Schizosaccharomyces pombe: one gene and its partner. Changing the gene in region 1 together with any one later gene gives a genetic interaction. Each region holds a gene or a part of one and is shown on either strand. Other genes may lie near its edges.

Region 1 (3,866 bases):
CAACTGTCTGTAAATCAACCAACGGATAGCATGTGGCCCAGTACCATATTCAACTTGAATTGTGAAAGTACTGTGTATGCGATTATGTTTAGGCTCCACATCAAGCACTGAGACCTTTATTAGGTCGGTAATAATAGGCAATACCGGCTGCCCAGATTTATCTCGAATAAAATGCTTGGCTATAGGTAAAGATGCAGGTATGCCTGCTTCGAAAAGATTAATAGCAGGCAAGTTCTCCTTTAATATAGGCTTTTCATCTTCCCTTTTAAATTTGCGAACAGAAGCCATTAATTGTGCCCACATTTGTCTGGCAGAATTACGGTTTGCCTTACTTGTATGGGCAGCAGCTGCATCACGTTCGTCTCTCTCTAAAGGAGGAACTTCAACGTTCTCATCCTCCATTGTCTGTGTGATAAATTCTGGAGTTTGCACTCTTGTACTATCATTCGCAGCAAGATCGTTAACGTTTTCAGAGGCTGTATGCCAAGAAGACCCCCGGGTGTGTTCCAAATCGGGCCGTTTTGGAGGATTTAAATTAACAAATTCAGAGTAGTTTTTTGGATCATTCTCAGGAAACGATGGAATAGAATGGTCGACGTTTTTTTCAAGATCTGTAATTTTGGATGGTGTGTGATCTTCTGCATCTTTCCGTCCTGTCCCCTTTTCAGAGTAGATGCTATCATTTACATTTGTGTTTAACGAATAAGGTACATTATCAATCACTGAATTTCCACCTTGATGAATTGTCATTTTGTTATTAAATTAGCAATTGGCTAAAGTTTTTTTGAGACTCAGGGAAATCCAAGTCCCTATGGAGAAAAGCCAATGCTTTATAAATGAGTAAAAGCCAAGAGGGCTTTATTGAACAAATCCCAAAAACAGTTTAAGTGGTTTGGTAAAGCTTAGCTGCGCATTTCAAAATGAATAATACACCATCATGAAAGCTTGGTTAAAGTTTCGTTTAACTGCGCTAGCATAAATAAGGAAACTTTATGAACAATACAAATGTTTATTTACATCGCTATTGTGTAGTTTAATGGTATTTGTCCAATGGATATCGATGCTTCCTACAACCAAATTATTTTTTCTTGAAGAGTTCGTCTCCCTTTTATTGTAATCGTCGAGCAAGAGTTTGTTCAGCTCAACTTACATTAGCTTATCAAAATTAACAATACATATCTCTACTAGTTGTCAGCTATTCCTCACTAAATTATTATTGCACTATGTTAAATACCACTATATTGATTTACGTTTCCACTTTCAAAGTCGTTAATACAGCAAAAAGCTACACAAATGCCCTACATGAGACTTAGATATTTGCGTATTATGCTATTATAAACAATGTGCCTACGTTCCTCAATTCCCTGATTATTATACTATGCAGCATAGTTATTGCTAGCCAAATTAATTATAACTGTATTCGTGGCGACTCTACTCATAAAATAATAGCAAACTCTTTCTAGGTGTATAGATTCGTAAAAAAAATTTACGAGTTAAGAATGCGTACACAAAATTTTACTTTGCTGTGCACTGTCGGATTATAATGCATATCCGACAGAATTTGCAAGGACCTCCTTAAATATCATAAAAGTACTTATCGAAGAAGCACACCAAGGTCAGAAAGGCGGTTTTAACAGGTTAACACTAATTAGTTTTACTGCTAATTCTTTGAGTATGCAGAAATAAAAGAAACTCAAAATACAAGGTGATGCTTCTAACTAAAAAAGTTTTATGGTACTTTAGACATGGAATTGAATATCAAATTCGTAGCATTGCTTGCAAAAAAGGATACTCTGAGCATAACGTTTCAAGAGTACTTATTGAAAAAGCCCGATCGCTTTCTTCAGAGTATCTTCAATTCCATCAAGTAAATAATAAAGTAAGTGTCGGCAAACAAAGTGTGAAATCAGCCTGCTACTGTTCGAGATACAATAATAATGGTAATACAAGCATACCGGACATTAAGCTTTACTCATGAAAAATTAAAATCTGATATAAATGATCTAACTTATATCTTTTAGGATCAATCGGCAATGACAAACGATACAGATTTAGCAAAGCGAATCGCTAGGCTTCGACGCGTTCATAATGCATATTCGAAATTTAAAAGTTTGTCTGAGGTATGATATAAGACGAATTTGTCTCAAACTTGTAGTCAAAAGCTTTCCTTTTTTTTATTACTCTTCCTATTTATAGTAATCGATTTACAATGGTTTTTTTTTGCTAATGGGTCTATAACTTAAGACTTTTGCCAGGCATTTACTGTTTATCTAAGTAAAGCTATTTGATGAGCATGTTGAAATACTTAAATAACTAGTTTTTGAAAACCTTGATTTAAAAAAATTCTAACAATTTAGCAAATAAGCGATTTGAAACAAATGGAGGCCCAAGAGTCAGATGCAGAGGTTAAAATGATGGCAGTGACTGAAATAAACGAAATAAGTAATAAAATACCAAAAAGCATAGAAGATCTTGAAAACACATTACTTCCACAAGCTGATTCATATGCTCTTCCTGCATTAATCGAAATTCGTCCTGGTGTAGGAGGAACAGAGGCCGCAATATTTGCAAATGAACTAGTGGAAATGTATTTTCAGTATGCAAATTTTAAAGGATGGAATTGCAAATTTATATCAAAAAGTGCAGTCCAAGGACTTGAAGCGATAACGGAGGCCATCTTCTCTATTGAAGGTGAGGGAGCTTATGGTCATCTTATGTTGGAAGGAGGTGTTCATAGGGTTCAGAGGACTCCTGCTACCGAAACTAAAGGAAGAGTTCATACGAGTACTGCATCAGTAATCGTTTTACCTCAGGTGTCAAATGATGAATCCTCTTCTCTTTACGATTCATCTGAAGTTAAAATCGAAGTAATGAGATCTCGTGGAGCCGGTGGACAACACGTTAATAGAACAGAATCCGCCGTACGTTTAACACACATACCCACTGGTATCACTGTTAGCATGCAAGATTCTCGTTCTCAGCATCAAAACAAAGAAAAGGCATTTCTTGTACTGAATTCAAGATTGGCTGCCTTAAATGCCGCAAAAGAAAATGAGGCTGAAAGACTGAAACGTAAAAATCAAGTAACGTCTTCAGATCGTTCGGAAAAGCTACGAACTTATAACTTCAACCAAAATCGAGTAACTGATCATCGGATAGGTTTAAGCATGCACGATTTATCAACATTTATGCAAGGTGAAGAAAAATTTGACGAGTTTTTGGAAAAAATAAGAATATGGAATCGTGAACAGTTGCTATTACACTCTGAAATAGTATAGGAATGCTAATTTAGTCTAGTAAAATAGGAAGGTACAATAATATATGGTGGTCAAACTTCTATAGAGAAAAATGTTTATTAGGTATATGCAATGAATAATGAGAAAAGAATGTGCAACATGTCATGCAAATAAGATATCCATAACTGATCTTTAAAAAAGATCATAGGTTAACTCATAATAACATATTTTTAACTACCACTTAAACTGGAATCTCTTGAGGCGACTGCTTCGTTCACTATCTTTGCATCCTGATCAATAAAGATTGCGGCACTTTCATTGGAAGCAGAAGAATGGCTGAAATTACGTCTTGTCTTTCTAGTATTCAAGGCATACGACGATCTGATCAATGAGGTGGGCACATTTTCAAGAGTAAATTCAGATTCAGCGGGAATTTCTGAAGGTTGCAGCTCCTCAAACGAAGATCTTGGAGATTCGACAGCAGTATGAGATCGGACAGAAGAAATGGAGTCTGGTCTAGTTGGTGATACATCTGTACTCCGAGGAGTAGCAGAAGATTGATATAATACACGGTCAGAAACACGTTTGGATGAATTCAATTTTCTGAGTTCTTCAAAAATACTTGGTCCG
Region 2 (3,643 bases), on another chromosome or scaffold:
TAAACAAGTTACAGATCTTTTTTTGGTGGTTCATGGTATCGGTCAAAAAAGATCAGAGACTGGTAAGTAAACTTGATTTTTTTTTATCTTACACCGGCATTCAATTACTAATGTTGACAATATAGAGGAACGATTCTTATTTACCAAGACGTGCAACGTTTTTCGTTCATTGATCCAAATTCAGAAAAACATAATGAAAGAGGATCCGTTGATTCGAAACGATTATGAACCACAACTTCTTCCGATATGTTGGAGAAATAAGCTTAATTTTAATTCATATATAAAGCCAGTTGCCGGTGATGAAGGACGGGTTGAGGATGAAGAATTTGAAGAAAATCGATTTTCAATTGAGGATATTGAAATTGATAGCATTCCAGCGGTGCGAAGGTTATTAGGAGATGTGATGAGTGATATTCCCTATTATATGTCTCATCACAAAGAATCCATTATAAAGTCTGTAATTCGTGAAGCTAATAGGGTTTACCATTTGTGGAAGGACTGCAATCCTTACTTTTTAGAAAACAAGGGCCGTATCTTTATAATTGGGCATTCTTTGGGCTCCACAGTTGTTTTTGATATTTTGTCACTTCAACCCACTTTTGTCAAAGAAATTACTATAGACGATGATGAAAGCTGCTTTATATTCGACACAAACGGTTTTTTTTGTTTTGGTGGTCCGGTAGGTTTTTTTTTGCATTTGAATCAACAAAGTATTATTCCTCGTCGTGGAAGAGGCTCATCAAGATACGAAATAAATAAAAACTTTATAAATTCTGATGTTCCAAAGTCATATACTTACGATGGTTATGATCGGTACGGATGTCTCGCAGTCGACTCTTTTTATAACATCTATAATCACCTTGATCGTAAGCGCATCATTAAATTATCGTATTTACTAACAAATTAGCCGTTGCGATGCGATTAAATCCCACAGTGGATCTCTCATTTTCGAAAGGCATCCACCCAACTCGTATACTGTTCACAAGAAAATCTTCAAGTATTTTGAGAATGATCTCACATTCTAATACTGATCCTGTGGAACTTCGAAGTTACAATCAATCTTTGCAGCAAAATAAAAACAATGAGCCCACAGCAGTGGTCCCACTGGAGCCTGAACAGACTGTCGAGTTAGAGACTCGCAATTTTCGCAGAGAAGAAAGGGCCAAGTGGCGCATGCAAGAGTTGAATGAAAACTCTCAGTTGGACTACGTATTTACGAGTGCCCATGGGGTCATTTCAAACAAATATCTTTCTATGCTTTCGGCTCATAGCAGTTACTGGAGTAGTGAGGATCTTGCTTGCTTTTTAGTAGTGGAAACTGGCCGAAACTTTGGTATTGCCAATTCAATTGAGCAATTTCGTGGAAAGCATATGCCACGTATATTCAAAGGGGACAGCTCTTGAAAATTTTCTTTTTATTTTATCTGACAGTATACCAGCGAGCTTCATATTTATTAGCGATGCGAAGTGGACAAATTAAAATGAATTTGATGAACATTGGATAATGATGATTTTTTAGGATCACTTTAATGACTTTATATATTGGCATTCGAAAGATGGTTTTGCATTCAATGACCAGATACGAAAATTTATTAGAGTATTTATAGCAACACTAGTGATTAGCTAGTTTTTTTTTTGTTTTTAATCTATTGCTATTTTTCCAAAGCTTGTTAATACAAACGAGTAATTCGTTTTATTTGTCTCTAGATTGGTTTTAAAAAGTGTCTATACAAGCAGTTAAAGATTACAGAATGCTTCAAAGTGCCCCACCTCGTTGTTATTCTATTTAATAACCGTTTTGACAAATATAAAAAACTTATATGCAACGTGACTTTGGCAAAGTGTGCGTTTATTCTAGGATCCCTCATAGGTAAATGTAAAAAACATGTTCTTCTTCTACGATAAATATAGTAATAGTCATTTCTTTCATTTTGAGATTTGAAAACCGAGGCAAAAAAAGGGTATTTTGGGTATTCAAGCTTATTTGGAAGAACGCTCACCACTCACGTTTTTTTGAATTCTTCATACAATGAGCGGCCATACTGATGCCGATGAAATTCATGAGATTTTACGAAATAGTACGACTGGTTTAGTCCATTTAAAGGATTATCAAAGAGTAAAACAAAACATCGTTGAAAAACGAGAGAAACATGCGCTATCAACCACAAGTACTAAAATGTAAGTGAAAAGAACGAGAAAAGCCCGATAGTATTCTAAATATGACTGACAATTCAATTTTAGAAAAAAGAGAAAAGATGCTTTAAGCAAAAAGGTCAAACAGGGCATTAAAGTTAACAAAGGAAAACTTTCTTTTGGTGAAGATGAAGAACTGGAGAATGATGATCTACCTTTAAAAAAAGTTGAGAAAAAAATGTTTATGGGAAAGGATCCATCTGCGGATACCTCCTTTTTGCCAGATGCAGAGCGAGAAATACGTGAAAACGCGAAGCGAGCCGAATATCGCAAACAATGGCTAAAAGAGCAGGAGCAAATTCGGGAAAAAGAGATTTTGATACCATTTATCTATTACGATGGAACAAGTACCACTTATCATGTAAGGACTAGATTGAAAGATTCGGTTGGACACTTTCTTGCTGATATGAAACAGCAAATCCCATTTTTGAAGAGGATTCTGGATATGGATAAATTTTTACTGGTTCAATCTGATTTAATCATTCCCCATCACCATGAGCTTTACTACTTTTACATTAATAAAGTTCAAGGACGTGATGGACTTTTATTTGACTTTGATAAGCTGTCATGCTCTAGTCCAGAAATGGTTGCAACTACACAACTTCCTTCTCAATGCATTCCTCATCTAGTTCAAAAATCATATTATTTACAAAATCGCCATGTGTTTCCATGTGTGCATTGGGAAGTCTTTGATTCTCGAAAAGATTATTCATTGGAAAAGCATGCAACTGATCCTAACGCTGCATTATTTTACCGGCCCTCATAATGCCTTTTAAAAAGTTTTCGATTTTTTTTCTCTTGGTTCTTTATTTTTGTTTTGCATACTCATACTTCCCTCATCGACTAATTTAATAACAATTTCATTACAACTATATTGTTTTTATGTTTGTATTTTAAACAAATGAATTGCGCCAAACATATAACTTGATAAGCTATACAAAGAGAGAGACTTTGGTAAAAAAGAAACAGATATTATCCACTAAGTATTCGCAATGGGTTTTAGTATTTACACTTACTACTCTCAACATCACTCCAACCTTGACTGAAAACCTTGATTTCATTGATGTGCTATAGGATATTGTAAAATAAAGTAATTAAAAAATTAGCAATTCGCTTTTGGAATTATTAAATGTTTCCTTTATTATTGAATTCTCATATTTCTGCTTGTTTTTATTTAATGTATCGCAGCGTTGGTATGCAAATACATAGTATTTGATCATAAACATATTAACGATACGTTAATTTGCGGTGGATTATACTGTGCTATTTAGGTATACAATTTTTGGTAAAGAAAAAAGTGATCGTGACTGAATGATGAGAATAACTATTCTATTGTAAATAAGAAATGAAATTCGCTTTTCGTTCTCTTGGAAGTATAAGCATGTCGCTTTTACGAATGTTCACGAGTCTCTAATCCTTTCGGTATACTGTAAACAATCTAGTATGTAAC

Evidence for each region.
Region 2: mutations in mrf1 (region 1) and xap5 together harm fitness less than expected from each alone (positive genetic interaction), as found in Schizosaccharomyces pombe (one large-scale study listed by BioGRID).

What each region holds. Positions count from the first base shown.
Region 1 is NC_003424.3:568,528-572,393, forward strand, and holds mrf1 (peptide chain release factor), read left to right. Parts: upstream 1-1,640; 5' UTR 1,641-1,708; coding exon 1,709-1,879; exon of another isoform or gene 1,880-2,021; coding exon 2,022-2,120; exon of another isoform or gene 2,121-2,206; intron 2,207-2,225; exon of another isoform or gene 2,226-2,357; coding exon 2,358-3,278; 3' UTR 3,279-3,349; downstream 3,350-3,866. Other genes in the region: phospholipase D Pld1, read right to left, coding at 1-750; putatiRho-type GTPase-activating protein Rga8, read right to left, coding at 3,467-3,866.
Region 2 is NC_003421.2:753,228-756,870, forward strand, and holds xap5 (splicing factor, xap-5-like protein), read left to right. Parts: upstream 1-2,024; 5' UTR 2,025-2,029; coding exon 2,030-2,178; exon of another isoform or gene 2,179-2,241; coding exon 2,242-2,959; 3' UTR 2,960-3,063; downstream 3,064-3,643. Other genes in the region: SPOM_SPCC1020.13C (DDHD family phospholipase), read left to right, coding at 1-62, 126-866, 908-1,404.